2 linked regions of the Neodiprion lecontei genome follow. The protein of the gene in region 2 purifies or fractionates together with the protein of the main gene of each other region. This does not show direct contact. Links are inferred from orthologs where the notes say so. Each region holds a gene or a part of one and is shown on either strand. Other genes may lie near its edges. The genes, in order: formylglycine-generating enzyme and N-sulphoglucosamine sulphohydrolase.

The links.
Region 1: the proteins of N-sulphoglucosamine sulphohydrolase (region 2) and formylglycine-generating enzyme purify together in Homo sapiens (co-immunoprecipitation; 3 studies listed by BioGRID and IntAct, with this or other methods). This does not show direct contact. The link is inferred for Neodiprion lecontei from reciprocal best matches to the Homo sapiens genes SGSH and SUMF1.

What each region holds. Positions count from the first base shown.
Region 1 is NC_060263.1:36,069,836-36,085,696, reverse strand, and holds formylglycine-generating enzyme, read right to left. Parts: upstream 7,574-15,861; 5' UTR 7,363-7,573; coding exon 6,819-7,362; intron 6,724-6,818; coding exon 6,549-6,723; intron 6,538-6,548; exon of another isoform or gene 6,307-6,537; coding exon 6,123-6,306; exon of another isoform or gene 5,875-6,122; coding exon 5,719-5,874; 3' UTR 5,258-5,718; downstream 1-5,257. Other genes in the region: male-specific lethal 1 homolog, read right to left, coding at 1-304, 757-1,209; SAP domain-containing ribonucleoprotein, read left to right, coding at 3,192-3,242, 3,694-3,790, 3,907-3,968, 4,147-4,377, 4,545-4,673, 4,767-4,838, 4,923-5,018; solute carrier family 35 member B1, read left to right, coding at 7,817-8,212, 8,583-9,161; uncharacterized protein LOC107219570, read left to right, coding at 12,602-12,658, 12,914-12,986, 13,078-13,130, 13,535-13,570, 14,337-14,436, 14,866-14,930.
Region 2 is NC_060264.1:8,250,049-8,267,768, forward strand, and holds N-sulphoglucosamine sulphohydrolase, read right to left. Parts: upstream 10,647-17,720; coding exon 10,487-10,646; intron 10,341-10,486; exon of another isoform or gene 10,234-10,340; intron 9,428-10,233; coding exon 9,298-9,427; intron 9,135-9,297; coding exon 8,998-9,134; intron 8,875-8,997; coding exon 8,724-8,874; intron 8,637-8,723; coding exon 8,398-8,636; intron 8,323-8,397; coding exon 8,203-8,322; intron 8,105-8,202; coding exon 7,901-8,104; intron 7,756-7,900; coding exon 7,586-7,755; intron 7,336-7,585; coding exon 7,189-7,335; intron 6,932-7,188; coding exon 6,782-6,931; 3' UTR 6,371-6,781; downstream 1-6,370. Other genes in the region: protein canopy 4, read left to right, coding at 811-975, 1,202-1,367; 28S ribosomal protein S33, mitochondrial, read right to left, coding at 3,776-4,111; phosphomannomutase, read left to right, coding at 11,365-11,427, 12,075-12,269, 12,383-12,650, 13,331-13,596; methylglutaconyl-CoA hydratase, mitochondrial, read right to left, coding at 15,668-15,827, 17,513-17,720. UniProt on the Homo sapiens protein: Catalyzes a step in lysosomal heparan sulfate degradation.

The sequences.
Region 1 (15,861 bases), on a different chromosome or scaffold from region 2:
ATTCTTGTCGAAAAGTTTCATGCTTGGATTCATTCTTGACATGATTTTCACTCGGCTCTTGTTTAACTGTAGTTATACCTCCGCTTGTATTCAAACGTATTTTAAAACTCTCGTTATATGCAGGACTGCTATTCTCGGACTCAGTATTCCTCTGATGATCACTAGTGGATGCCGTATTTGGTGAATTCAGACTGGTAGGAGAACAAGCCCCGGCGTGATCAGGTAATACAGAATTTTCAGTTACATCTGATCGTAGTTTTTGTAGATTGACTCGTCTATCCATCCGTTCCAAACGCAACTTCAGCTGAAATACACAAAATCAAGACGTGGTAGGAAATATTAGTTTTGAGCAGGAATGAGGACTTTCAAGCCTACAAAAGTTGAATTTTCAGTAGATTCAACAAAGTTGTTCAAATTTAGGTAGCCAAATATTCCGCGTGAAACGCTATCGGTACCGAGCGAGAGTACATTACCGACAGAGCAATGTCATCGGAAACGCGTCAGAGACGTGAATATTGTAATGTGTACAAATGTACGTAGCGGTTACAACGCCACCCAACGGCAGGTACATGAAGCATGACCTTGACGGTGAAGCGAGATTATTGAATGACATTTCAGCATGTGCGTGACAACTTTGTTGTCCAAGGCATGTTTAGCGACATGGAGCGTCACTTGTAGGGAAATAGCGATACGGTTATATCTCTGTAAATAAATACTGACACTTCAATTAGTACTAGTGAACGTCTGCTTGTATACCGTTTCATTCTCCTGCCTGAGAGCCGCTAATAGTTTATCCTTGGTAACGATTTGCTCGGATTGTTGTTGTATCAGGTCCAGATGTAAAAGTAGTAGTTCTTTGAGGTGCTTGACCTCGGTGAGGTCATGGTGACGAGCCTCGTTGCCGCGGAGGGGGCTGACACCGAGTGCCGATGTCGCCGGGGCACCGCCGTCTGTCATACTCGCGTACATGTGGTCGAAGTCGCAGGGGAAGCTTAATATGCCCGCCTTGCTATCCTCGGCAGCGGTTTGGAACTCGTTTTGCCTCACGTTAGTTGATAAATGTTCGCTCATTGCTGCAACCATGTTGTATGCCGCACGAGCCGCGGCCGCGTTAACTCCACTAGCCGTAGTTCCAGGTGCCGTAAGCAGTTCCCGAAAATCCACGCTCCCAGTGTTTTCACCATTTATTACTGGCGAGGTGTTTGACATTTTCCCTCCGTGACAACCTCGTTAAGAACTTTCCTGATCATTTGTGGCCGCAGTGAGCGTACCACGCGCCCAACCACACTCATTAAACAATCTTACGTAGACTCCGATGATCTTTTCACTCTACAAAATAGACAAACTCTCACGATATCACCCTCAATTTTAACCCTGGCTCGAGATGTTTACTGACAAAACTCTGCCGACGGCGTTCTCACAGTAGAGACACCAAGCGTACGCGGCTCGAAATACTCCAACGATTTCCCGCCATTGCAACCACGTGATTTCCGTACCCGTCAATCACGGCTGGCCCCGTTTATTTGAATTCATCCGACGAGATTCTTCCCGCTCTCCACGTTTACGAATAATCGTAACGAATGGACAACCTATTCGATGCATTAATCAAGCTGTTGGAAGCTCGGACGAAAAAAATACTCCGGATATGCCTTTCAATAGAAATTTTACAGCAAGGTAAATCTACAACTGCTGAGAAGGATGTTCACTGATAGCTTCGCATAGAGTGCAGCACATTCCAGATCATCAGTCTTTAGCGCGATGTTTTTTATTAATCAAATATGCCGTACTTTAATGAGTAATTATTAAAGTCATTACTATATACATATAAGACTCAATTACTACAATTCATGCGGAAATATTACGTTTACAAGACAGCTATATTATAATGAAATGCGAATTTCAATTCGATATCGATGCCGAGGAACGGTCTCAAGATACGTTCCGCTTGATCTGTGATTGTGGTTGTGAATTGGAGCAGCATTTTCGTTTATTTCGTTTGTCGCGTCACGTACATAAACCGTTGTCCTTTGAGACTGTGTCTCGTCTTAGCTCGCCAATTCCTAATGCGACGCCGCCGACCAGTGTGGATGTCGTGTGACATGGGTTCAGCTAAGGTTACGTAAAAAGCGTGCCGATGAAACGCTTTGTCGTAATTCTCGAGCGAATTTTTGGCGGCTTGTGTAAACATCATATTAATGTTATGTAGAACTTAGTTTATCAAAAAATATCAGAAAATTGACGTTCACCGTGTGGACGGATCTGCACCTGGCGTTGTATTATAACGGCAAGAGATTAAAGAGTTAATAAATAAATAAATCGGCACGACACTTGCGGTTGGAACTTTTATCGCCACAAATAGTTGTGGGTGTAATAATTTTCATTGACTGTCATCTCACTCCAAATTATAGACCAAATGATTTACTCTGTTCATCCGTGCCTTACGTGACTTTCATGTAGCAGTAAATCAGTGCTGTTTTGTGAATATAGCGAGTGAATTCGCAGGCACGATCAATGCAATACGTGCAACCTTAGTTGAAAATACATAATCATTAGAACTGATTCACTCTTTCGATTTTTCAATTCGATTTCCGTTCGAGATATTGCTTTTCGAATAACTTTTGCAATTACCAATGATGAAATATCTATCGCAGATTTCAAATCTCAAATTATCTTATTTACATTGCTGAGAGATGGCCTAAATTTATTTTTCAATCAACCGCCAGATGCGCCAGAGAAAAGCCCGACGTTTCTAAATGTTACAGTGTTTTTGTTTTGAGCTTCCGAAAAACATTGATTTTGGCAATTAGAATCTTCGTAACAGACCCGGTACTACAAGGAAAATAGATTTCACTTGAAAAACTGAAACGAGGTTAATTTCCGTTGGTCAGTATGGAGTACGGCATTGCCATACGGAAATTCAGTCAAGCCGGAAAGCGCGCCACCGATAAAACAGGGCTGAATCAGTGTGGCTAAATGCCACTGGTCGAGACTGGCGGGATCAGCGTGACTATATTTCGCCATTGTTCCTCCGGTCTTTCGTATCCTCTTACATTTCACAGTTACGAACTGTGATTACGAATTTCGGTTGGCTTGCTCTGTTGCGTTTACCTGTACCAAAACTCTGTGATAAATGAGATAAAATACGAAAAGTTTTGCCGCTTGTGAAAATTAGTAATTAAAAATAATTCATTATGGCTGATTCTTCTTACGAGAAAGGATTAACCGAGTTATCCAAGATGAAGGTATGCGCATACATTAGCACTGTTTCATGCGGCGATTGTGTATTTAATATTTACGTTAACCTCAACGAATCCAACCATCTTATTGCACCCTGAATGATTATATTTTGGAGAAAGTTTACTTTGAGTTCTGTCATTCGAATAGTAATATGTTTTAACTTTCATATATGAAACCATCGTCATCCCGAAAGTTGTCAAATTGCTGAACACGTTTTGCTTCGAAGGTGCACTAATCAAACTTGAAAAATTCTAGTAATTCAAGTCTCAAAGATCTTTTACTGTAAAAAAGGGTACTGTTATCCTTTATGGATTGAACTGTGTCAGGTTTTATTTATAACGTTGATTATAGATTCTTCGAAATTTGAATACAATTTTCCAACCTCTCGATAGTTGAGAGGTACTTAATTATAGCAGGGAATAATTTTGATGCATCAATTGATGACATTCATTACAGGTAGCAGATTTAAAGTTGGAGTTGAAGCAACGAGGACTGCCCACGACTGGAAATAAAACCGAGCTGGTAGAACGACTTCAATTAGCAATGCATGGAGGTAGGATTATGAAAATGCAAACCATAATCGTTAGCTTAATTACAGGATACCCAGGATTAATGAATTGCATTAAATAATACTCAATATTTGACAGCCACCGATATTTTGTTTCACAGATTCGACTTTATCACTTGACGAGACTACGGATGAAATATTAGATGAGGATGCTGTTCTCGGAGTAAGTTATATTTTTACGTCCTTTTAGCTTTCAGAAATATTGATAATATTCCGAATATAAGACTCTGAAATGTATTGGTTTATTATGTTTCTTCACTAAAATAATAATGCATTACCAGGTCTGAATCAAGTTTGTATATCTGTTCCCGTTTTTATAAATGAATGATATGTACCTGTAGGATGAAGAGATAGAGGAACTTTCTAGTAAACCCGACTCACAGGAAGTGGGCAAAAAGCGAAAATTGTCAACAGAAAGTAACTCAGCGAATTCCAAAAAAATAGTACTGAATCGTAATCCAATTCTCGAAGATATCCAAAGTGAGCTAACTGGAAAAGAGAATAATAATAAATCAGATACAAGTGAACCTGAAAAGAAGGTTATCAAACTTTCTCAACTGGGCGTTAAGGAGGTAAAAATGATAACTACACGTTTTTTGTGATTGTCACATACCTGCATTTTCAACTGAAATTCACAGCTTCTAAATATCTTCATCTATTGCACTTGTTAAAAAATAATTAATTTTGCAAATTTTATACTCCATCCATCCACCATCTGATAATTATCGTTTTTGAACAGAGACTGGAAATGAGAGCTAAGAAATTTGGTGTCCCTCTATCTGAGTCTGCAAAGAAAGAAGCTAGGTCGGCCAGGTTTAATTCAAACACGCAGAATAGTAAGTCAGCAGCATCTATAAACGTTCCAGTGGTAAGTTTTGAACAAAATCAGCTTGACAGTTAGATTCGTGGAACACTTATAACTTGGGGATGATATTAAAATCTCGTGAATAATTAATTTCAGCATACGACCTTTGAGGTGCTGAAAAAGAGAGCTGAAAGGTTCGGCGCTTCGGTTTCTAGTGTGATGGAAAAAGTATGTGTCAGTTTTTTAATCAATGCAGTGTATCAGTTACTGTGAAATGCCTTTAAAATGAATCATATAATTTATTGTTTATAGGCTGAAATGGAGTCAAGAATAGAAAAGAGGCGAGCGAGATTTGGTGAGGTTAAGCCGATTGAAAAACCCATAAAAAAAATTAAGATAGTAAAATGATACTCGATATCATACACTCAAACAATACTTTAGGTTAAGGTTATTTTAAGAAATTCTTTTTCAATGAAACCAATAGTCAAACAGTCATTAAAAAGTAGACGAAATTTTCAATATTCAATATGGATCGAAAATATTTACATTTTTTGATTAATCAATTTCTAATAGAGTATTTTACTTATAAATTAAAAAAAAATAAAAACATCAAATCAAATTATAGCATTGGTAATTTTTTCATTGCCAAACATTATTGATGTATAATTCCAAAATTATGGAATCTCTGAAAATAAATTCTAGTAATAGGAAATGAAGTCCAGAGGCTCCTATAAAATCAAAATAACCTGCTGATCGCTGTCACAAAAATGTGCTTGCGTTGAATGAAACATTGATAATAGATTGGGAATTTCTGAAAAATTTATTACCATTTTTCCATACGTACAGTTTACCTGAGGTTACAATCACAATCTACTTAAATCTGTATCTCGAGCTCCAAAAATCGTGTTCGTAATTTCTGAGGAATAATGTAAACCCTTCATATTTCGAAATGATTCTTTACACACGTATACTAAACGTCAAACATTATTCTGGAAGACTTGGACCTGGCTTAAAAATAGAATCAAAACTTTGATAAAAATTTATCCAATCATGCGTATGTGTACCAGTATTTACAAAATATTTTAACCTAAGTACAATTCAGATATTGCTAAATCGACATAGCACATCTGAAGCCGAGATTGCCAGCAGAAGTATCAGGTGTGTTTTGACTGCGCGCAGCGCACCTGTATCTGTAACAGTAACTCTCATGACACAGATATGAGCCTCCTTTTTTAACTTTGTCTGTACCACTTGACGGTCCGACCTACAAAATTTTGACTGATCATGAATTTGAGAAATTTAACTACAATTATTACATGGAATGTAGGTGCTTGGCATAAACTATTAAGAATACCAGTACTCGAAATTGTGTATCTTGACTTAGGACAATCATTTAGCAATAAATCATAGCTTTTTTGAGAGTTTTTTTCAATTGCAACATTCCTGTGTTAGAATAGAATTCATTTTTGCAAGGGTATTGGGTGTATGTTATCACAGGAAAGTTATACTTACAGGATTTTTTGCAGGTTTATCACTGTGTTCAGTTACCCACCAATCGGAAGTCCATTCCCAGACATTTCCAACCATATTATAAAGTCCGTAACCATTTGGTGGAAATTCTGTGATTGGTGCTGTCCCCACAAATCCATCTTCAGCACTATTATTGCTAGGAAAAACTCCTTGCCAAATGTTGGTCCTGCACGGAAAAAGTAAATTAAAATTCTATACTAGTAATAAGATTAAAGAAATAATTGATAAGTAACATGTTTCTTAACAGAATCATATAAATGTGTTGTGCGTATTTTGTCAAAAAAAAAAAGAAGAATAATCAAGCAATTGTCAATGATTTTTCATTTAAAAATGAATGTGCGTCGCCGAATTTGAGGATGTAATGAAATAAAAATTAATCGAACAATCGTAATTCCAATACTAGCTTACCTGTGTTGATTCTTTGGAGTGAGGCGGTTACCCCAAGGAAAAAGACGTTCAGTTACAAGTCCGCCTCTGCACGCAACTTCCCATTCAGATTCCGTAGGCAGTCGTTTGCCTCGCCATTTACAAAAAGCTGTGGCATCGTTCCAAGAGACGTGAATCACAGGATGGTCCATTCTGTCTGTCATAGAGAACGTGTTTAAGATTGTGATGATCGAAGCGCGTCTACTTCTCACCAATTTTCTTGGACTACCTATGTATAGAAGAAAACCTCACCCAGTATGTCGGAATCAGGACCTTCAGGATGACGCCAGTTACAGTCTTTGACCGGTAGCCACCAAGGTGCCTGAGCAACCGCCTCGTTTATCTTAGACTTTGTTTCCTCGCTCAATAATCCCTCAAACACAAAAGAATCCCCAAATTTTTCAGCCTCTGTTCGATGCCCCGTAGCCTTGGCAAACTCCTCGAAATCTCTGTTGCTAACTTCGTAAACATCAATGTAGAAATCGTCCAGAGTTACGTTTCGTCTTGGACCCTCACCGTCGGCCACGAATATCGGTTGGTTTGTACCGACGGCAAAGGTGCCCGAATTTATCATCGCCATTCCATCGTGAGCGTTGATTCTCTGTTCGTACTTATTCTCTTTGACAGTGCAAGCTTCACTCTCACCGGCGGAACAGAAACCTTCAGTTTTGCCGCTCTGATCATCGTTTGTTTTTCGATTCAATACTTTACCGCATTGACAATCCGTTCCCTCAGATTCTGCAGCCTTGATAAGGAAAGTATGGACGATTAAAACTGCTACAAACACGGCACGCATTTTCCAAAAACAATTGACTGACGTCAACAACCCTTTTTGACGCTGCGAATGGAAATCGTCGTCGCCGCTGTCGTTGACTGAAGATATATTCTTCAGTCAACGCCGCTGTCAATTGTTTTGGTACAAATTATCCTGAATCGATGGCTAACTAGTATTGGCCGCGTAGAATTTGGTGATCTACAAACTCGCGTTATCAATGGTTCGGACGCATTATCGTCGTGTCGCACGAAAAGAGGCGACACTTGGCGAAACGTCAGTTGAAGTTGAAACTGTAACCGCGCGTTGAGCAATAAGTGCGCGGTGCAATCGGGTTCAGTCGCGTGTGCAAAGCCGCAAGAAATAGTTAAAGTGGACGAGACGTGGACGTGTCCGGTATAACCTCGATGAGCATATGTCGCGGTTCTAATACCGTTTGGAATACATGTAGATATTGTTTGACAGAAACTGATCAATAATGACTGGTAGTCAGAAATCGTCGAAAATAAAGTTGCTCGTTTGTGCAGCTGGTATTTTCGTGTGTTACTTTTATTTCGGTGTTCTTCAAGAAAAAATAACCAGAGGACAGTACGGAGATGCCGACAAACCCGAAAAATTCACATTCGCGTTCGCATTGGTTTCTGTCCAATGTTTGCTCAACTACATGTTTGCCAAAGTTATACTATTGACTGTTATGAAACAAGGCGAAGACTCTACTCGTACAATTTATTATGCTGTCAGTTCGCTTACTTATCTACTCGCTATGGTTTGTAGTACTATGGCTTTGCAATTTGTCAGCTATCCTACTCAGGTTGTCGGCAAGGCTGGCAAGCCTATTCCTGTTATGATACTCGGTGTACTGCTCGGAAGGAAGGTGAGATTTTAACTTGTCGATTATTCAAACCTTTTACAGATTTTGCAATAGTTCTCTTACCTATTCATATCAGTATTACTCTGTCATGTTTAAAGCAACACGTCGATGCCCCATCAAAGTCTGTTATTTCTAGTCGATTAGATTAAAACTACTGTAAATATTCCTCTTGTCCACCAAGGTATTAATCAAGATTTTTTCAAAGCAAAAACATGATTCGTTCATAATTTTCTCAACAACATTCGCAATACTGTTTTATTCAAATTTAAGAGTGACTGGTCTGTGAGGTGAGATGATAAAAAATAATGATAATTCTTATCTCGAACCAAAGATGTGTCGTTCAACTAAAAATATGGTTAATTTTTCATTTAAGGTTTATCCATTGAGGAAATACCTATTCGTGTTACTGATCGTTGTGGGCGTTGCTCTCTTCATGTACAAAGACAATGTGGCAAATACCAAGCAGACCGAAAGCCAAATGGGCTTTGGAGAGTTTTTGCTGCTGCTGTCATTGACGATGGATGGACTGACTGGAGCGGTACAGGAAAGAATGCGAGCAGAGCACAAATCTAAATCTGGCCACATGATGCTGAACATGAATTTCTGGTCATTTATATTCAGTACTTCGGTTATCCTAGTGTCAGGAGAGCTTGTACAATTCTTGTCATTTATGCAGAGACATCCAAACTGCCTATGGCACATCGTTTCCTTCTCTTTAGCAGGAGCGTTTGGACAATTTTTCATATTCTTAACAGTGTCAGATTTCGGCCCTCTTCCATGTTCCGTTATGACTACTACTAGGAAATTCTTTACTGTACTAGGTTCTGTTTTATTATTTGGTAATAATTTATTACCCAGACAATGGCTGGCAACGATTACAGTCTTCTCAGGGTTATTCTTAGACGCCATGTACGGCAAGACTAAAGTACCATTAAAGGAAACTACTGAATGATTTTAATTATATTATCATAGTATGATAGATGAATTATGTTGGAGGTTCTGAATTTTTATTTAGTTCAGGTTCTTATGAGGCTGAAGTTAGTAAAATAATTGCAACGAAACGTCAGGGAAAAATATATATACTTAAAAATATATAATTATGATCACTTTGAAGGAGTCAGCTTTTCAAAATGAGAGTATGTTTTGTTTATCATGGTTTACTAAAATTCAACTTCATGGTGTAAAATAACAATTTTTCCTAAACATCGTTACAGTCTCGTTACCAACTTCACCTTTATACTTCCTTTAGGTACAATTGATAACGCGACGAAAAGGTGTCTAGAATAGATGAACATTATCAGCGAACAGAAATAAATTTATAAAGTTCGATCAGTGTTGGGCGTTTTTGTAATTAATTGGTTTCTAATAAAATTACAAATGTAATCTGTCGTTCCAAGAAAAATCGATACTAACTATTACGTTCGTAATTTTTAATTGAAATTTTCCTAGTTACAAATTACAATAGTCATTGGTAATTTTTTTCCTTCCAGTAAGAACCGTGTGTATATCTCATAATCAGTACGTATAAATTTTCAATTTGGAACATGATATAAGGAATTACTTGGATCACAATCTATATACGTATAGATTGTGAACTATGTATATATATATATATATATATATATATATATATATATATATATATATATATATATATATATATATATTTCACACAAAATATGCATAATACAGATTATACATCACAACGTTTAGTGCAATGCGCTCAAATTCATTTATGTATATGGCTTATACATATTTATTTGTACAGTACTTACGATTATAGCGTTGTTCCAACATTTCCAATTATCAAGTTTTTCCGATTAATGGTAAGAATACTCCTTTAAGAAAATTAGATGGCGACTATTTTTTACATACATATTTCGATCCGCAAACTATATGTATATAAAATTTTCTCTCAGCCAAATTTACTAAGAGCAAAAATAAAGAGAAATAAAATTGAAATGGGTATAAATATTATAAAAGTCTATCACTGCATATCTATACGCTAAATAGAACGTTACCTAACAACGGAATAATTGGTTTATTCGCATGTTGCATACAGGATTTTATTACCGACTTAACTGTGATTACTATTGACTTGAAAAGTGCTACTTTTTCCCCGCAAATGCAGGAACAAGTATCAGAGGGAATCATACGCTACTTTTGGCCCACTTTTCAGATCAGTAAAGTGGCCGTTGCGGTTGAGTCTGCAATAAATATGCTTTCGTTAATATTTTCTTATACATATAATACTTATATACGGTACATATAGTTATAAGATATATTGATAAATAAATGCCACAAAGAATGACGAGTGTTTAATTTCTGCAAAAACTGTTAATTGTATACTCATAAAATAATAATGTAGGTGACATCCGGCGAGCTAATTTCAGTACTACATTTTATCCAATTTTGGATATCAGATTCGTAATCAGCGTTCCCGAAAACCTAGGGAAAGTGGATTTTCTGTACATCGATTTTATTACGAACTTCATGTTTTAATCCGCCGTTTTGTTTACCAAATTTTGATATTATATTCGTAATCAGCAATCCCAGAAACGTTGGTATACCAAATTTGACAAAATTCTGATGATGCCCTGATTTAATTCCACGATTTCATGAAAATTCCCCACTGTGTGTCGCCCTGGAATTTCTAACAACAGATTCATGATATACGAAAAAGACAACACCTATTGTACAGTCGCAACAACATTCTTCAGATTTTTATAGAGGATCGTAAAGAATGCATAATTTCGGCTAATAATTCTGCAACGTGCACATAGTTTATATTTCGGTTTCCACTTAACAATGGAGAGAATCGAACCGTGTAACTACTTGCGAAGGTAAATATAAATGCAAACTTGTGTTATTCTCGTTAGAAGCTGTATTTACCAACTGCAGCCCGTATTTATAGGTATATAATTTCGTGTAATTGTCTTACAATCAGCCATAGGTGTATTCTTGCGTAATTCCATGTGCATGCAATAACGAAATTTTGCCCTGATCGGGCAGATTTTTTTTTTTCGTGATTCTGTTTCTTGTTACAATTACATATTATTAGCCTCACACCAAATCACAGTTGAAAGCCGAATATGGATTGAAAGGAAGATTCTCGCACGAGACGTTCAAAATTTGCAAAGAATTTTGATTCCAGCGTAAAAAGTGGAAAGAAATACAGAAAGGTTATCGTCGCGTTTTCGTTAAGGAAACCGAATGTTAGTTACGAAACCACTTTCGTTAAACACGGATTCCTTGTTACACTCACTAACGTAGTGATTAAGGGAGTTCTGTTGTGGATCTTGGAAATGTAGGTCATTATTTAACAACAAGTTTTTGCCGTCAACGTTTCGACCCTGATTGGAGTCATCCTCAGGACATATTTAATGCATCTATTGAAACATAATTACAACATTGTTGATACCGAGTCGGAACAACCTTAATAACATATAATAAAATTAGAGTAATAATGAAAAGTAAAACATAAGCTATGTATATAGAAACAAACGATCACTAACACTAGTAAGTAAAAAAAAAAAAAAAAGGAGTTCATTGTGTGCAACTGTTTTTCGCGATGGTTCAGAAATAAACCTTCGATCTTGTCGTACGGAACGAGAATTTCGATACGTAGTATAAACTCAACTATTCTCCAATCGAGAAAATAAAACTCTCCATTCGGTCATGTAATTACCGGATATATCGTATATACTTTCAACGATACAGGTATGTTAATAAAATTAGGAAAACCCGGTATTTTTAACAAGTAGCCTGCCTGTTTTGATTATACTATTTACTATGAGACTAAACGGGGATTTTTTATTTGGAAAATTGTCTCCGTTTAAATGTCGCAATAATGAAAGAATAGCACTGACAGCACTATAAATTCCCGTAAAAGTCGAAAGTACTTCAATAGAGGTATTTGTCAAATTGTTAATGCCATGCATACCTACTATTTTCCATTTTCAATAGAAAATAGAGTGTGCTCGTTCAAATCTGCTTGTTTTGGAATATGTAAAACGTCATTTCCACATTTTAAATACATACTGAAATTGAAAGCATTTATCAGATATTACCAATTGTCTTGTCTCAAACGCGGATTGCCTTGATGGAGGAAACTTACATCGCTTCAGTACCTAATCACACGGTGTTGGATTGTGTGTTTATGAAAATGACGGGTTTAGGCGCGGTTGGGGCTGCACTCGGCAGCACGTAAATGTCATTAGCTTAATTTTGTTCATTAGTTCAGGTAGATCCAGGAATCTTCCTCGCCTATATAAGTAGTTGCCCGAGCAATGCCACCCCAGTCTGATCCAGTACGCGCGGTTTATTTCGTTCGATTAGCGATCAGGAAGTAATTAGTAGACCTAGTTTTTTTTTTATTGCAACGACGATAAAATGTCTAAGCTTAGTTACGGTCTTGTTATAATGATATTTTTCGTTGCCAAATCGATGGTGAGTTTTGATTTTGCGTAAATTCGTTCTACTCGTTGTTGCAAATTCCAACTTTGATTCATGGTGTGCAGCTTTCTGCTTCTTTTCCAATTTTCTTTGACGTTGAAATTTTTTCTTTATTTTACTTTGCTATTCTAATTGTTTAAGAATGCAAATTTTGACCGTCGTATTAGCTGATTTTTATTCGAACGCCTGTTTCGCAAAGATCGGAAATTTCATATCTAAATTCAGACTTGTGGATTATACTTTTAACAGGCAGATGATGGAATGGCCGAAATGGTACAAATGCTACACGACACATGCGTCGCAGAGACAGGCGTCGCCGAGGGTAAGTGAGCTTGTGCGATTAAACAATCCGATAATAATTTCTCTTCGTTTTATCGTATCACCAGATGGTCATTTATATTTTTTTCTTACAGACTTGATCGTCCAGGCAAGAACCGGTAATTTTCCGGATGACCCAAAGTTGAAGGTAACCAATAATTTGTAATCCAGCTGCTAGGTAAATCGAAATTAGGCGAGTCGGGCCTTCGCCTCGATATTCTTGTTTCTGAAAGTTTTTTTTTAAACAGAATCGAAGTGAATAAAAATATAAATGGTAATATTTCTGAGTTAAAAAATTTTTCATTGGTCACATAAACAAATTTTATTATTAAAAAAAATGTTCAAAATTTGCGAAAATTAATTATGGAGGCCTCTATTATCTAGAGATTTCGGGGTGCCTCCCTTGGCACCCTGCGCTAAATTTGACCCTGCATTCGATTATTTTCCATGTAATTGCAAGTGTTTGTGTAGTCATTTCAATCGAACGCCAAGGAATTTGTTTTCTATTTCCATTGCAATTCGCTTATGATAATTACAACGGTTCTATTTCAGTGTTACATGCTGTGCCTGTTGGAACAAATTTCCGGTGTAAGTGAATTTCATTATTTTTATCAATTATAGAATATAGAAGTATGGTTATAAATGTATTACGTTTCGTTAGTTTTTTTGAAAACTTATAACACGAACAGAAATTCAGACGAAAATCTGAAACTTCGGGGGCATTTTTTATAAATCGAACGGTGTCATTAAAAAAAAAAAAAAAATGTACCAAAAATGAAGAATTTCGTCAGTTCCAGCGAAAGACCTACATAAGCATGGTTACAAATATTTTTGGCTGATTTCGTATAATTTTATATGACTTGAAATCCTTTCAACTACAGATTGCGCGTACGATTGCGGATATTGTCAGTTTATATCGAGTCATTTCGTACGGTTTAAAACTTTTATCCACCGATTTCATTGCGAAATAATCTCGTTTTACACAATAGCTATTAAAAGAGACTTCTTTATAATCCACCTTTTTTCTGTTTAACACCACGCAATGAACGCAAACTTCAAACACACATAGCAAGACCATTATTCCAATTATAACCCAGTATAAATACATCTCACACCGTATCCACAGCCATTGAGTAGCGCGGGAATAAAGCCCAGAGAATTTCGCCTAGTCCGACTGATCCTGTTACCAATCTCTGAACTTTTTATAATGAAATATAAAAATCGAAAAAATTATGACAACCGGTGGATTCTGTGTGACAATATTAAACACGCCTCGATGATTTATTATCAGCTTCACTTACAGTGACACGTTTGTTGGAACACCCAAAACGTTATTTAATTGTTCCATGTCTAGATTGATGACGGCAACATCGACGTAGAAACTATCGTCGCAGTATTACCCGAGCACGTCGTGGGCGACGCTGAGCCAGTAGTTCGAAGCTGTGGAACAGTCAGTGAGTATGTTTAAGATATCCGTAGTAATGGGAGGTCCAGCTAAACCGATCACCATTAAAGGCTTATTACAGTAGGAAAGTTCGATGGCAGTTTTTTAAATTCATATTCTACACTAGTTTCGTAAAGAATAAATTCGTTATTATAATTATTTTCTTCCTTCATTCGATGAACGAAGTTAAAGCAAATTATCAGCAGTTTTAAAGAAGTGCTGTTTAACGTAAGCCGTATCCAAAGTAGTTGCACATATAATGTCTACGTACATCATCATACTTATAAAAATAAAACTGACATTTAATTGCAAGTAACACTTACAATTATCGTTTATAACCGAAGTAAAAAAAAAAAACTCTACTTTATGCACCCGTATAAAAGTTGGAATACTTGTTCCATGAAACTTTCCCATTCATGTTTCTTCTTTCGTTTCGCAGAGGGTTCCGATGATTGCGATACGGCATTCCAGACGAACAAGTGTTGGTACAATGGATTACCAGACGTAAGTATGGTGATTGGCGGGGGATCGAATTTATAATTTTTCATTGTTGCGGAACTTAAAATAGGCAAGTACTAACGCATAATTACGCTTTTCTCATTTGTTTTCAGCTGTACATGTTGGCATAATTTCGTTCGACTCGCAGCGATTTCCGGGAGCCTCCTTCGAAGGAGAAAAACCTTACTGTGAATTATATCCGAAATAGGCATACTATATGTTTTGTATCAAGTATTTGTTGGTGAGATTGCAAATTTTTGAATGTAATCATATGTTCACTCCTCAACGTGGTAATTAATGCAGCTGTCCTAAACATCTGTGCATATCAGTTCCCAAAATTCACAGAATATAGTATGTTCCCATGTATACACACGTATGTAACATATTTTGTAATGATTTCAAAAAATAACGTCATTCTTCAAAATTGAATTGGCACTTCTGTAACTATATTGGCAAAATATAACTGTACTGGTAATAAAGAAGAAAACAACTAGATGTTTACCGAAGGATTCAATGAGAACTTGCAACCAGAAATCCGGCCTCTTTGCATACTCGAGTCTATTCGATCGTTCTGTAATAACAGCATACTGGTCAGTTATCATACCTATAGGGAAAAATAATATCTTGAGAAAATGACTGTGAATGTTCCGTTAGTGTGGGCGCCTCATGGTAGGCAACCCGTGTAACAGTTCTGTAATCCGTGAATACTCGGTAATGACTAATGAAGCTATCAAATGATTTAGGTGTGGGCGCCTAATGGTAGGCAACCTGTGTAACAGTTCTGTGATCCATGCATATTCGGTGACGTTCAATGAAGCTATCAAATAGTCCAGAAGATGGCGCCATATGGGCGGAAATATGAGGAACTGATTTTAGTGCAGGGTAATGAACGGGTGAATTAAGTAGAATCAGGTGCAATATTGAATTGACCACAATG
Region 2 (17,720 bases):
ACTTCTATTTATTATCTGACACTCACTTTGTTTAGCCAATGTTGCCGTTACCAAATTTTGTCAGTAAGTATTGTAACATTTCTCATTCCCTATTTCTTGGATGCCATTCATGAAAAACACAAAAACTGTTTTTCATACAGTCGAGTTTTGTCGATAATTTTAACAGATTTCCACAAACGAAATTCATATTTCTGCAAAGTGAGTGTCAATTTCAACTGTACGTGATGAAGCTGTAAGTTGTGCTCAGTCATCTTACAAGCCAACTATTTTTTTGAATAATTATTTAGCTAAAAGTCTCACATTCGGCAATATTTGCAACTTGAGAGGCAAGTCTTTCTGTTTTCACTTAACTTCAGCCTGATACCGCTATTGATTTACATTTTTTTAATAATGTACTCCTACCTACCTGATAAGGTACTCATACTAGACGACATGAATTATAATATAATTTTATCACAGTTGAAAATGCAATATGTGGAAATGTAGCTTAATCACTGTGTAAAATTATTCTTCGATAAACAGAATTCGAAATGAAGAACTGAAACACTTTACTTTAAAACCACAAGTATCAATGATTAGGAATATTTGAATCCTCATTGAAAACTTATTGTACTTCAAATAAACAAATGTCTGTGAGTTCCAGCTTCATATAAGATATGCAAACAAGAAATTTTTTACATTCACTAAGCTGGACTGAATACTAACTTTGAAATATGATTGCAAATGGAAATTTTAAGGTGATATTAGGTCGTAGCGTGTTAAACTATCAGTCTTTTTTAAAAATTATATTAATCATTGTTTACATAATAGGGACAAGGGTGTAAAGGTCGACTTGGGTATACCATATGAACTTTGGGACAAGCCATCAGTAGAGATAACTACGCTAAAAACTCAGTGTGAGTCTCTACTGGAAAATCATGAAGGTGACATTGAGGAATGGTATTTTGAACATCAAGGAATTATTCCATTGAGCCGGTAAATATACACTTCCGACTACATTAAAAGGGAATGAATTTAGTTAAAAACTGATTTGCAATTCACAGTTGTACATGCATTGCCTGAAACAAGCCAACTATGACATCTAAATGTGGAAAACTGTTATCCTATAACCTAAGATCTATTTATTAATATAGGTAGTAATGAATATTATCTTATTGTATTGTTAATACATATTTAATAATGTGATATTGTTTTTATATAGATATCTGTGTTCCGATCGGGCATTGAAAGGACAAGATGACACTTGCTTAAAGGAAAAGGGTGAAACTGGACGACCTAAAATCGAACAAAAGAAAAATAAGAAGAATTCTCGTAAAAACAATAAAGAAAATGAAAACAGACCAAAGAATGAGAAAGAAGAATTATAAGAATACTTGCGCATAAATAGTTGTAAATAAAAATATTCTTACCAAAACGTTCTCTAAAGAAAATCTTGTACCAGTAATTATACATCCATTTTAAACGAGATTGAAGTTGATCTAAATATAACGATGCATTTTCAAGAAGACTCGTTATTTTGCAACTTTACTGTTGTGTGAAATTCAGCGACCTAATGGAGCATTAAGAAACTCATATTTGCAAATTCAACCCCTTCAGAGTTGTTCTGAAGCTCTAAAATGGTAACTTTTCATATAATTATTCGTAACGGTAACGTTACTAACTTTACCTGCGTTATTATAAAGTTTCTATTTTAGAGATGTGTAAAGAAAAGTTATAATTTTCAATAGTGCGAATTTATTATATCGATTTCATTTATACCATAATTAAACAAAATTGTTGTGACTCATTTTACAATAAATCAGTTTTTATAGCTAATTACCGTGATTATTTTTTTTCCTCTGGATCTTGTGCAAATGATTTTTTCCTATCATGTAATAAGTTACTCATGTGTTTGTGCATTAAATAACTCAGTTTAGCATTACCAGCATAAAATATAACAAATCAGCGTCAAGAGTAGTCTTTTTTTTTACCAAAATAAATATGTCAAAGTTGATAGTATTATTTGTCATATTATTAAATTGGGGAAAACAATCTTTGGAAGTTTCTTTATGGGCAGCCAGAGCCAAGAGTAGCCAATTCCCCTGGCTAATTCAATTTCAAACAATTATTCCTTGCGGTGGAATACTGGTTTCTCCTGACTGGGTTCTTACAGCTGCGCAATGCGTTCAGTTCAACCGAAATGTACGTATTACATACGTTTGTACTGTTTATTAATTTGAACTTTGGAACTATAGAATCCTTTCTCAGATATACTTGCTAACACTATAATGCCCAAAGTTCATGCAAACGATTACAAATGAGTGTATACTCAGACTTCTCTATTCAATTACAGTCCATCACCTTATATGCCACAGGGCTGAATGGCACACAGTCAGGACAAACGATCGGAGTAAAAGCGACGTACATATTCCCAGAATACCAAGCTTACTCAACGGCACATGACAAGGAGCATAATATTGCTCTGCTAAAATTAATACAACCATTTGATATGTGCGACGACAACGTCAAACTTCTAGACGTGTCCCCAATTCGACTAGATGATTACTATAAGACATGTTTCATATTTGGATGGCAAAGCTATGTCGCTCCATCGACAAAAGTTTTAGCAAAGCCGATCCAGTACAGTCACGTGCTTCTTAATTCTTGGGAAGTATGTATGTACATGCTCAAGGGGAATACCAGCTATAACAATGTCTTCTGCGCCATTGTGGACGCGGAAGATGGAATAAAAGCATGTGCAGGAAATCCTGGATCCCCAGTTGTCTGCGAAGATCAATATCAGCAGATGACTTTATTAGGAATTGCCTCTTGGTCCAATTTCTCATTGGACTGCGCTGGGATCCCTACTTATCTAGGACTTAGTGTATTCAGGTAAAATGAGAGTACCATAAATTTGACACAGCGTAATGTGCCATGGAAAACATTTTCACATTCCAGATCATGGATCAATGATTTAATATTAAACGATAAAGTAATGGAGGAACGAAACAATGATGGTAAACCCAACAAAAATACCTGTAGACATGATCAACATCCGGGCAGTATGACGGCTGGCACTAACATTTGGAATTATTCAAACTTGTCGAGGTTTAGATTGAACATCGATCAGAAACCCATTGATAGACTTTGGAAGCCACTATGGACAGAAATCGTCGAAAAAGAGATTCATGAACAAGGTTCCAGTTTGTCAAAAATTCCAGTTATTCCTCCCAGACTAGAAAACGCAGTATATACCAACTATAGCAGACTTAATTCAAAGTATGGAATACCCTTTGATATCCTGAGACGAAGGGATGAAGATAATTTTAAGCAGTACCAAGAAGTTGGCCAAAGTAGAGAAACTGCCAATAGAATAGTGGATACTGTGGCTGAATTTCCAGCGGTGCAAATCAAGTCTAGTCATTCAGGAGATAAAAATATTGAAAAAAATCACGACAAAGAGATACGAAAATCCACAACAATAAGCACAGGCGATGAATTGTATGATTTAGACTTTATGATGCCATTAGATGAAGATTACTTGTTCGGGCGATCGCATACATTGCATTTCCAATCAAGATGGTTTTGTACAACACTTTATCTTGTGACTGTAGTCTATTTTATTTTCTGATTATTTAACAATGTTTTACCGGTGAAAATAATTATGTATCCACGGCATCAAAATGTTGACAACATCTTACCATTATCTTTTTCCAAAGACGGTTTATAAAAACTTTATGCTACTATTAGATTTCAAAATATTTCCAGACCATACAAGTAGAGTAATTATCCACTCTTACAATGTTATTTTCTTGCTCTCTCCCTTCTCAGGCTTGCCTTTGCCACGTAGAATTCTCAAACGTTTCATCTCATCTTTAAAGTCCTCGTGTTCATCTCTGAATAGACCATACTCGCGAAGTCTCATCATTAATTTTCCAATTTCGGGATGCCTTGGATACCAATCGACGACCTCTTGCCGTTTATTCATAGGCTTTGCACTGAACAACTTAACGACCTTCATTGATGGTGCATTTGTAGTTCGGACCACTTCTCCAAATATTTTGTTGCTCAGACGATTCATGCGATTTGCATAATTTGTTGTAACTTTAGCAAGATCGACGTAACGGCTCATTCTCAGTACCTCTATTATGTCCTAACGAATTTGAAAAGTTTTTGAAGTCATTGTCCACACATTGCGTATCAATCGAAAAGATAAACGATCAATCTAGATGTCAATAGTTCTATACGATTTACTCTCTTTTTCATCCATTTTCTTAACGTTAATTGAATTTAATACGGTAAGAGATTGTAACTAATGCATTTTCTGAATAGAAACTTGAATTAAAACTTATTGTTGACATTTAATTAAAGCATATTTTTTGTAACTATGAGGGTAAAATACTTACGGTTTGGTCTCAATACTTCTACCTCTTGCTGAATAATACAGCAATAATTAGACAGAGCGAATCGCGAATCTGCGGGAACCAGTTGTCCGTTTTTTGATAGGTTATGTCTTCGAACGGGCTGACTACTGACTTCATTGAACGGGTTAGGTTAGCTTGGCTTAGGTTAGGTTTGCTTAGTTTAAGTTAGGCTAGGATATAATCTGTCAAAACGTTGCAAGTGGGACGCAACTTACGAATAAAAGTCGGGCGTGATCGAGTACTAAAATAACTACGCTTACTTTGCGCATTCAAATAAAGAATGTATAAACGGTAGTTGGGAGTGATTACCGAATAGCTTTAAAGTAAACTGCTCGAAACGTTGTTGAAAATATTACGACAGTATTTGAAATATTGTTATTCTATGCGTTTTCGTGGCACGCGTGATACATATGTCAAAGAAAAGAAAAATAATAACGCATGTGTACATATTGTCCAAGCATCATGAGTTCTGGTGCGAAACAATTGAAAATTTTTGAAACGCTGTAATTATGTGATGTTGGGATTACGTAGGACGAGAAAAATGCATTCGATCGTACTGGTCGGTGGCATTATTTTTTTTCTCGTACTCATGATCCAGGTTAAACAGATCTACGATAATAATCAGAAGCACTATAGATTCATGGAATACAAACAATACGTTAGTACCAAAAATCTTTTGCATTATCTGCCTTGTTATTAAACATCTTTTTTAATGCCTTCTCACTTTTTATTTTACTTCACTCATTGCCACATGAAACATCATATTTTCATCTCACCATCGGTATAAGCTTAATTTTGCTACGTACCATATTGGTCTGAATATAATTGGAGTTTTTTGTTAGCCAATTTTCCTCTTGAAATCCTCTTAATAAGGGATTTTTGCTGAGGAAATTTGCTATAATGACGAAAAAACTTTGTTGTCAACCAATTGTTGTAGAATTTAACCAACAAAATCACAAATCTCCCAAATTCAAAATTACAATTTTTCAAATAGCATCGGTCAGAAGTCTAAACAAATTAAAATTGAGATATTTATACAACAGACTGAAGTTTTAATGATGCAATGTATGTAAAATATACAACACAAACACCCGTGTGATAACAGATCATTTTTCCCTAAAATTCGACTTATATTCAGCATATAAAAAAAATCTTTGAAACAAATTCGTAAATTTGCGGGTCAACTTACATTCAGACTAACACTTTATTGAGCGTACTTCCATATTGCATGCAATACTATAAAAGCAATAATCATAAAAAGACTCAAACCATAACATGTGGATTCGCAATTTTAGATTAAAGAAATTGCTGCAGAAATGAATGTGGTTGAGAGGTCAGCCAATAAGTCATCTGCTTATGTTCGACAACTCAACGAAGCTCTTCTCAAACATCGGGAAAGAGAGGTCAGGAATATTTCTTTACCTCAGTTGACTACAATCTTATAATCTTTAGGAAATTCTAAATATTAATAAATAACTTAATGTGAAAATTAGAAAACAGTAAAAGTCCATCGTATGTAGAGAAAATAGAGAAATTTGACGTTTTGATAAAATAAAGTCTTTGTTGGTCTCCCATTTTACTTGCCGCAGCTAGGATTCCATTGAAATCGTCTATTCAATGATAACGAATGATGATTCTATAGAAAACTGGACGATTAAGATTACAATAAAATAAGACATCAGATGATTCCATTAGCACATACATGACAGAAATAAGAGCTGCTAAGCGTATTAATGATAAATTTAAAATAATTTTAACTCGTATTTGTAATTGTCTACGTACCTTTATAATGTCAATGAAAAAATTACATTTCTTTTTTAAACTTGGTTGTTGTCTGTGTAATATTATATAAGTTTGATCTTTTCTTTATACTTTGATAGTCTTGAACATAGATGTTATTGTTACTCTTGATAAAAAGCAAAGCTTACTTTGCTTGTAGCATGTGTCGTTTTTTAGAGAGCATTTTCCTCAATTAGATATAGTGTTTAAAAAAAACTGTTATCATTCCTCGATGATTGTAACATATATACTTGTTGCAAAGCTTAGATAATATTTAGGTAATAATTAAGTTCATATTATACATACACGTTGCGTGTATTACGTCACAATCACATATCGAATGAATTGTTGTAGTGGAAATAATATAAAATGGTTCGACAATAACGTTAATGAGTATAGTTATTGTTTCCTAAGAATTACGAATCCCAGTGTTAAACCAAAGTATGGGCAAGATAATTAACTTACAATTGTTAAATCGATCACAGTATATCCTAAATTAACGCAATGTTTAATTGTTATTAAAAAAGATTTCAGAAAAATATGTGAAAATTATATAGCTTCTTATGTTATACTTATCTTTGTATGAGACTCTTGATAAATCATTGGTTGAAGTTATCCAGTGGCATGCATTGCGGATTATTTTTGTAAGCACCTGCATCTTCGAGAACTCCACTTGGAGCACATAACCAGGGGTCATGGGTGGCTTGTTGCCAGTTGAACAATCTGGTTTGTAACTTTGTAACTATGTACTGAAATAATAAAAGGAATTATTGTTAACCCTACATTTAGGAACAATAATACAGAAAAAAAAATTTTGTTGAGACCTGTACCACTTACACATTAGAAAATTGATATTTTAAAGTTATTTTCCACAAAGTTAAAAAGTAAATTTAGTCGTTTCCATGATATTAAATGTGTCGAAAATTATAGCAACTGTTAACATAGTTGTATCTGCAAATGCTCTGTACTTCACGGAAAATAACGAGTATTCATGATAAATATGTACCTTCATGGATGGTTTGAATGCAATATTAGTGAGTTCCTCAGGGTCATATTTCAGGTCATATAACTCCCACTCTGGTCTGTTATAGTATGACTTCAAAGACTTATACCAAGGTACTGGTTGCTTATTACGCGTTCTGTTCAGAAGATCCTGGAAAATTAAATACTCGTTTATGTACCACTAATTTCAATCAACTTTAGGAGGTAAATATTGATATTACTGTAAACAAACAGGTAAAACAATAATTATTAAATGACATGTTAAAGAGGCGTAAGCCAGAGGTAAATTTCAAAATGAAAAACTATATGATTATATAGTTCAGACATCACATTCAAAATATAATTCTGAGAAAGTTAGAGTAGAGAATTCAGATTTTTACTTTGCTGAAAAATTTAATTACCTGAAACGATGGCGATATATAAAAATCTTGATCAATTGGGAATGGCATCTTGTAATTAAGATTATGGATAAGCTTATGTCGCTTTGTTCTGATTGCTCGCATTGGATAGTACATGGTGATTTCGTGATGCGTATGACTTGCAAAGACAGCTGTATCATTTTCGAGAGGCTCTAGAAAAACCACAATTTCATCATGTCACAATGTTTCACGATAAACAGCTTGTGCTATTATATAAAAAAATACATATTGAGCCCCAGCTTAAAGTTATTCAATTTTTTCTTACACAATTAGCGATGATCTTTTTTAATGATTTACCTTGACTGAGTAGAGGAAGAAGAGATTTTCCGGTGCGTGAGATTCGAGGTGATACATTGTTGTCGTCAAATTGTGTTGTGTCAGAAATATTGAACCAGTCTAGTACAGTTGGTACGATATCAAGTAGTGAGGTCATGCTGTAAGTTACTTGATTTCTACGTTGCTTGTGATATGGGGATGATATCATCATCGGCTCTGCCATGCCTGTACCATTAAAATGATGCAAAATTCATAATTGCCTAAATCCGATACGCATTTGTTGGGGTATCAGCAGGTTTGCGTTGCAGCGTTAAAAAATTTACCTGGATCGTACAGATTAGTCCGGCCACTAGGAAAGGGAATACCATTATCAGAGGTATAAATAACAAGTGTGTCATCTTTAAAACCAGCATCCTCAAGCTCCTTCAGTACCAGTCCCACTCCTATCAAATAATATTCAGTATTGAACTTCAAGAAGTATAATGATTTAATATTACAACGGAATTACTAAGGGACACCTTGATCAAGTCTCGAAATTGTTGTATACTGTGCAGCTAAGTCACGACGAGCAGCTTCGGTATCTTGGACGAAGTAAGGTAACTGAACTTGTTTCCACTGGTAGTAAATAGGATTCCAATCAGGAATAGTGCCCATTCCCTGTTCACCGTTTCCAAATTTTTCACAAAAATTGCCGTACTCAGGGTGCGTGTGGCCACAGCGATGGGGATCATGAAAAGCAACGTAGAGGAAGAAGGGTCTGTGAAAATCATTACAATATTTGACATGTGACAGAAATTAATCTGTCGATTATTTCATACCTAAAGATAATCATTAAGGTTCTCACTTGGTTTTATTAACAGACAGAAATTCCCGAACAAGGAGCTTGATTTTAGTTATGTTCCTTCCAACTTGAAGAATTGAATGGTTCTCTTCCGTGTGTGAAAAATCGAATGGATAAACGTTGCTGGGTCCGACGTGCTTCTTGCCAATAATTCCTAGTGTTACGAAAATTATTATCTCACAACACAATAATAATTTAACCTTGATTTAAAAATGATGTGTAAAATTTTCGTGAACCTTTGATTCAAAGTTATGAAAACTACCAGCAAATCCTTTACCTGTTTTAATGTTATTTTGACCCAAGATTTTAGGTAGGCTCTTTACATCGTCAAAGGAATTGAAATGATGTACACCTTGGTGAAGCCCATACATCCCATTTGTATGGCTTGGAAGTCCGGTGAGGAGTGCGGCACGGCTTCAATAATTGAAAAACACACATTGATTTGAATGTATGAAAGAATTTTAACTGCGAATAATGTAATTAATGTTACACTGCATTGATTTAACTAGGGATTTAACTAAGGATTGCACCTAGTTAAGAATTGGAAAAGATGTCAATGTGTAAAAGAGATCTGTACCTTGGTGAACAACTGCTTACTGACGTGTAAGCATTGTTGAAAATCAATCCATTCTTCGCCAGAATATCCAGATTGGGAGATTGACAAACTTTGTTTCTGTACGATCGCATTTCAAAACCTCCATCGTCAGCTGGAAAAAATATAAATACATGCGTTGAATTATTGATGAACTAGCGTATTCAGTGACCAGAGTGAGATACAGAAAATTATGCCATAATTTATCTGCATATAAGAAATAATTTCACATACGACTTTAATCGAACAAAACATTGTGTCAAAAAAAATGTATGGTTCAGTAATATCTAGTTTACCTCAAGAAATAGTTTTTCGTTATTACAAATATGCCACCAAATTTACCAAATAAAAGTATTATAATAAATAAGCTCCCTAGTAGTTTTGCCTCAACGAAAATACAATTAGATTTAATCTACTGATTAATTAATTGAATACAGCTGGAATAAATTAACGTGATAAACAGAATTCTGTCAATTTTAATATTGTAAACATGTTTTTATAATGAGCTTGGATCACGTTTGAAAGCTTAAACTTTGAACTTTCGTTTGACATATTTAGTCCTTCTAACAGTCAATGCACACATAGATTGTTTACAATTTTTTAATATGGATTCAACCAAGGATTTTGTAACTTAATACTCAATAATTACTATAAATAATACGGCACAAAATAGAAAATCTCGCGTTAGAAAATATCTAAATTATTATAAATCTATTTTAATATTGTTTTCTAATTTGAGATCAAAAATTGAGTCGCTGTAAAAAACAAAAGAAATTGCCGCCGAAAGATAAGTTCGAAAGACGAAACAAGCGGTTTGACGTAACAGAAAGCGTAGCATCTGATTGGTTTGCCACATAACAAATCAGCCGATAAAAAGCGTTCTTTTTTCCAACAACGTATAATCCATATACGCCTAAAATCGTAAAAATTTGATTGTTGCACCCATTGATTGAGTTTGGAACAATTTATCGACGGAAGAATTTAAAGACGGTTACACTTGGGCAAATTTGGTGACCAGTTCTCGACGGGTAAGTAGGCTTGAGGCCATAAGAAGCGATGTTAGCGATTCGCTAGCTTCTTTATCGATCGAACTCGGTTAATACGCAATTCCATAAATCACAAAAAACAGTCAACTGTACACTACATACAATCTAAGTAAAAGTAGGTCATTCACCTAAAAGCAACAGCACATTCCTGGGTGACCTAGGGGATGTTGGATTCGCATCTGCGTATGCAAGCTCAGGTAAAATCAGGGAAGCCAGAAGTGAAGCAGCAGCAACGATGAGAATCTTCCCGCGTGGCATCTTCATGCAGAGAGAAACCTCTTCCTGCATGTATACCTATATCGCCTTTACCCACGTGTTAACGCGTGACGTTAACTGCGGAACTGCAGGTTCGTGGCACTCCGAAACCAAGGAATAGAACGGGACGCGAGATACGAATTTGTGGGATAGCCGTTCGGCACAAAAAGAGAGGAGACGAGTGCCTACGTGGTACTAAAACGTTGGTGTACGTATGTAAACTGTTTCCGACTGATCAAACGCAAACTGTATTTACGTACTGGATGCGAGCACCGGTTTGACAATTATAACACATCGTGAGTTTTCACGCTCGTTGCGGTCGACGACACCTCAAGGTACGCCTGACACGTATTGATAACTAGTCTACTACGGATCCGGTGGTCATACTTGACACGCCGGCTGAGCAACGCCTCGCCTCCCTTTTCTCCACATTATCTTTTTACTCTTGTTTAGTGAAAGGCATTCTAGAAACACCACAAGATTCGAGCAGAGGGTATTTCGATGTTCTCAAACTCTATATTAATTCGTTCCTTCAATCGGCAGGTTTTTTTCAATTTGAATTCAGGTTTATTGTTATTGTTATTTTCGAAAAATTTATTTGACCTGTTCAAGTTATCGTTTGTACGAGAAATTGCAGTAAAAACTTATCACATCAAACTGTGTGAGCCTCGCAAAGTTCATTATCTTTACATTACTACATATATTAATTGTTTTATTCAACTTTCAGAATTTTATCCACCGTTTTTACACTATGGCTAATAAAAAGATCATCTGTTTGTTCGACGTTGATGGAACACTGACTACTCCGCGTCAGGTATGGGTACTTTCCATTATTGCCATACTTAGCAAACATGCTGAACATCTTCAGGAAAAAAACTAGGGAATTCCAGTTACATCGTGAAAAATAATATTAATCTAATATTCAGATGACTGCAAATAGAAAGCTGATGCTATTTTTCAACGACAAAAAGTACTTGAGTCTTGAAATGGAATTCAGAACAAATGCTTTTTCTTCAGAAATACTAAAATCAAAGTACTTAAAAGGTCGAATTCAAAATTCTATTTCTGATGGTTTTTCTTCAATGATTTCATCATCTTTGTTTGGTCGCATAAAAAATAGAGAATCATTTATTTTCTACTGAAGTAATGAAATTGAAATATCATTAGTCAAGGTGCTACCTAATATTAAATAACGAAAATTTATATTAATTTTTTTTCCATCTATATTAGCACGTAAATTCAACAATTGAATCGTTTTGGAAAATGCATATGTGTCTTGCAATTTCAACATTTTATCAACACTGATGATCGATGTTCCCCTTCTATAGCCGATCGTGGAATTGATAAAAAAAGCGGTTCAAGAGCTACCATTACAAATAATCTATAAGCCAAATTTTTTTTTCGTTTCTTTGTCTGAGATGCCCTCTTTGTAATGCTTGAATGCCAAACCGTTTTTTCCAGGTTGTTAAACCAGATATGGAAAAGTTTTTGCTGCAAACAGTGAGAAAAGAATTTGATATTGCCCTTGTTGGTGGTTCTGATTTGGTGAAGATTTTAGAGCAGATGGGAGGAAGCGACGTTGTGAATAATTTCAAATATGTGTTTGCTGAGAATGGGCTGATTGCCTACCGTGATGGAAAGCAGATCGCTACCGAGGTAAATGAAAGAGAATTGAAAGTTGACAAACAAGATACTTTCAATCAATTACTCCTAATGTTTTTTACTTACAATTTGGATTAACAGTTATTTCTTTATCTCTTTCTTTTCAGACAATCTTAGATGCGCTTGGAGAAGATCAGTTACAGGAGTTATTAAATTTCTGTCTACGATATATTGCAGACCTCAAAATACCAGTCAAACGTGGTACTTTCATAGAGTTTCGGTCTGGCTTGATAAATGTCTCGCCTATAGGGCGGAACTGCAGCAGAGATGAGCGCAACGCGTTCAATGAATATGACAAAGAAAATCTAATTCGACCAAAATTTGTTCAGGCCTTAAAAAAAGAGTTTGCTCACCTGCCACTCACCTTTAGTATAGGTACTTATCCTTATTTTTGACATATTTTTCTTTTTTGTGTCGACATTCACAACTTCTTATGTATTTAAGGAAGTTGAAGAGTCAAGATTAAATACTTTTTGCTCATTTTATTACGAGATAGTCACACATTCGAGATTAATCAAATTCACATATTCCTAAGCTGAACACATTTCCCTTCAAATACAGGAAAAGATATACTAAAATTATGAACCACATTCTAGATATTGACTCTTCATTTCAAATCACTTTAACATGATTAAAAATGTAATTGGTTTGTTCGATTCCACTCTATGATGGCTTATTTTGTTGAGAAGAGATTACTCTCTATAAACTCGCTATGACAATTTTCTTTCATCGTACTGGTATTGGTGCATATTGAATTTTTCAAGACTGCACTGATATTGATTTTGATTGAAAAACAGGAATACTAAATTTACTAACCTGGAAAAAATCTGTATCATTTTTCTAACAAAGTAATCATGGAGTGAAATCGAATAAATTTATTAGATATTTAACTATTATAGAGATTTCAAACCGAAAATTGATATATAAGCTTTTGTTTACGATTTTAGTATTTCTTTTCTTTTTTTATTCTTACAATTTTTAGGGTAATCGTTCTAACTTTCGAATATAAAAATATGATAAATGTGATGAAAAATATGAAAAATTTTTTCTTGTAGGTGGCCAGATATCTATAGATATTTTTCCAAATGGGTGGGATAAGACTTACTGTTTGAAGTACATTGAGGGATATGAGGAGATTCATTTCTTCGGTGACAAAACTGAAGCGGGTGGCAACGACCATGAAATTTATGAGAGTGATCTTACAATTGGTCATCGAGTCACTAGTCCTGAGGATACCATCAGGCAGGTCAAGATGTTGATGGCTCTTGTGAAGGAAAAACAGTCCAAGGGTCAGCTTCCTGTTCCAATGCAATGTCTTTAACGAGTTTCAATCTAAGTGTGGTTTCAAATTCCTAGTGGAAATTGATTGTAACGATATTTCAATATTTCAAGGGTGTAATCGTAATGTTTGAAAATATGTAGGTATGTAAATACAACGTGTTGTAATTTAATCATTTTAAAATAGATTTAATGATGTATAACTTTGTTTTCATTCAAATTGACTCCATTACGCAGTTATGAAGTTTGTAAAATATTTATATGTATAATGTACAGAAACTATAAATGAGCTCACGGGTAGAAAATAAAAGATTTGAATGTACTTGATAAAAGATTGCAGTACTTGACGAATATTCTGTTATTGAAACATACCCTTAGTTGTTCCTTCTAGGTGTTTTGTCTTACAATGTAGTGATACGAACGAAAGCATCCATAATGTGCAAATCCTAGAAATAGAAAAACTTGTTAGTAACAGTCGAAATGAATATGTGCCTCAAGCAAGTAATTGAAGTTTCATATTTATTGTAACCAATACGTATGAATACTATTGAGTAAGGAAGTGCAGCTCTTCTGGATGTATTGTTACTGTGGTGAATTACACATATACATTGTATTGTTCGCAAGTATTGTAATAAAAATCGCAATCGCCAAAACAAGTTTGCTCATCATTTTCAATTGATTAATTTATTATCATTATTGAACAGTGTCATTATAGGTATACGTATATTACGTGTAAAAATATGTACAATAAAATATTTAATTTCTTAGAAAGAATATATGTATATGTATATTATATATATATATATATAATACACACACATATATATATACTATACCTTATGACTTCACTCATCTGCAGTGTCTGATAATAAAAACTTCTCTTCTAGAGATGGTGTACAATATGTTATAAAAATACACAAATTTAACATGCTCCAACAATAGCGGTTTTGATATGATAGATAATCCTAAGAACGTATCAAAAAATGCCCCTGTCCCTCATTCCGTTATGCTTATTAAGTTTTGAAACATATAAGCTCCAAACATGACAAGCTAAATTACTTATTATTTAATGAATTATACTTTCTTTGCTCACGTTAAAGTCCTGTTGTCATTGCTCCTACACTGCAAAGAGACATGATAATATAGCAGTGTAAATATTTGCGTTAAGTTGATAACGTACTGGACAATAGTGACGAATGGTTTATTTTGAACTGTAATTGCATTGGATTTGTATCAAATGTTATCTTACGTAGTGTTTTTCTTGCCTGTAAAAAAGTATTACAAAAGAGAACTGTTATTATCGCTACATTGAATCATGCTGATAATCGGTTGCATATCACATGCGGACAGATAAACTTCAACTTTTAGATACAAAACAAGAGTCAAATGCAACAATTTTCATTCTTTAACAGGGAAATTTTAAGGTGAGCAAAGATTACAATGAAAGACGAAAAGAACAAAAAAACTTTATAAAATTTAAGATTATATAGAGAGATATAAGAGATCTCTAAAACTTAGAAACATATTGCGATTAATTCTGTGAATTCTAAGATTTAAATTAAAATAACTATAGGTATATATACTTTTTCAATTTTTCTTTTTAACATCGTATAAAATATTTCAAGTTATACTTGATATTCATAACAATATATAATAAAATATAATCAACTTTGATGGCTGCTGTACTGATTATTATCCAGCCGTTAAATATGCAATTGGAAGACTCAATAACTTTCTTTTTTTAACTTGCTCAAGCAAATACGCACTTATAAACAAGAAAAAATCACTGGTAACTGATTACTGTAGCCCATATTTGGATTAGTCATTTATCTTTCCAATTAAGTTGGCACAAATGCCTGGTACGAGTTCGTATCACTGACAGATTACTTCTGATAACAGGAGTGATTATTCCCTGTTTCGTGACTTCATTTTCATGCTTTCAATGGCCCGCTAGTGCTAGGGTTGTAGAACTGAATTTTTGTAAATGAAAAACTGCTATTTTTCGTAATATGATTATTGTAACGAGGACGAGTAAGCAAGACTACTGATAAAAACTCACGTTATCAGCACAGAGCGTATCTCAGCTTATTAAAAGTGTAAAACAATAATCAGAATCAGATGCCTTTGTAGACTGGAACACGCTTCGCCTTAAATGCAGCAAGCCCTTCTAAACGATCTTCCGTTTCCAAAAGCTGCGTGTAGCACTTCTTCTCTATCTCGAATCCGTCTTCCAGTGGAACTTCAACACCTTGACTTATTGCTACTTTGGCTAACCTAGAATCAAACAGAATAGATATGAATCAGTTCATTGAATATAATGATATTTACTTCGATACTACCAAAGCCCGCGAAACTCTCCTATTCGGATTGCTTTTGGTTTTGATAAGATAAATTTTGCACGATTGCGTGATCTGGAGAAATAATATGGCAGAATTGTGGCAAGAGATATGAACGAAGAGATAAGTACACAGGCTAAAAATTTTACCCTGCTTTCCCTCACGTGAGCAAAAGTCTTAAAGCCAATATTACGGAAATCTGAAGCCAAAATTACATGACAAGACGAAAGATAAGCAATGTTTGCACAGTTTAAATCTTCTACAATAATTCCTGACCAATCAAGCGCTGGTTTGGATTAGCAACTTTCCCTTTTACTTTTTTTTTGTCCCACTCGTTGTCGAATGCATTAAATATACATAAAACTTGTACAGTCATGCTTATAAGAATGTGTAATTGACGTTCTGAACCAATAAACAATATCTTTGATTGATTAAACAAATGATATGATTCTGAATTTGAAAATGTAGGTCGCTGTGACAGAGTTACAGATAATAAATCCTAAATTTTCCATTGCATCGAAATTGTGTGTGATGTCAAATGTACAGTATATTAAATGGGCAGCAGCTGTGTATATATTGATTACATAACGTTATCTCCATGTTGATTTGCCCTTGAGTAACCTTTTACAAATGTATACACACATGTAAAAGATGGGTTTATGCAATATTTGAGCCCACAGATATTTGATCAAGCAATACATGTACTTTCGTATTTGTCAGTTAGTTGCCGTTTGTAAAAAAAAAGTAAGTCTCCAGTTACTCTAAAACATAAATAATTCTTTTGAAAAGTGAATAGTTGTATATGATTGTGGCACAAATAGTATTAGCATATAACTCAACAGATAATGAATATATTTATTACTAGTGTGTAAAAATTGACAAGAAAGATAAGACAAAAGTACATTTTCAAAGTGTAATAGGAGATACAGAGTAACTGAAGATCACTGACTTCCGTTGTTGCGTGCACTTTTTTAAGCTCAGAGCAGCAGTCTTTAAAGAAAAGACACGCGGGTGCTGCTTGCTTCAAGAGGCAAAGGTCAAACATTTACATGCAAGTACTAACGTAAGTGTGGAGCGTGAACAGGCCAGTGATGAGCTCGGCAAGTAAATGAACGCAGTTAGAGACAAGTTTGCATGAATATTGTCATGAATCAGCGTTTAATTTGCGATGGAAACATTTTAATAGATAGAAATGAAAGTATAATGCTTAGCGGCAAATCTTATGTACAAAATGATTTGTCGTCTGCTTGCTTTGTGCTTGTGATTATTATTATCTTGCAGTAAAGCAGTGAAAATGTAAAAGCAGTGCATGATATAAGAAAGAAAACTTCTTTTTAATTGACTATCATAATGCAGTCATAAGATAGCATAAGAAAATCCAGTGAATAATTGTAAACGAAAAGCTTTAAACGATAGAGAAAATATAAAGAAAAATTGAAAAAACTTCACAACGGAAGTGAAATTCCAGAACATTTATCGTATTATTACACTGAGTAACATAAATTAAAGGATATCTTTGGGGTTTTAGTATTTTTAGAACTGCTAAAAATTTAGTATTCGATGCATGAATTTTCATGATCCAAGCATGAATGGACAGTCTGAAAACTAATCATTAGTTCTCACCTAACGCCGATTGGTCCGTTAGGCAGAATTTCCCTGGCGATAGAAAGAGCAGCCTGATAAGCAGCATCTCCATCCATATTCTGGGGTACGACATGGTTCACAATCCCAATCTGATGTGCCTCTTCTCCGTCAAGAATTTTCCCAGTGAAAATGAGCTCCTTTGCTACGGCAGGGCCGACTATCCTAGGGAGTCTCTGTGTTCCCCCAG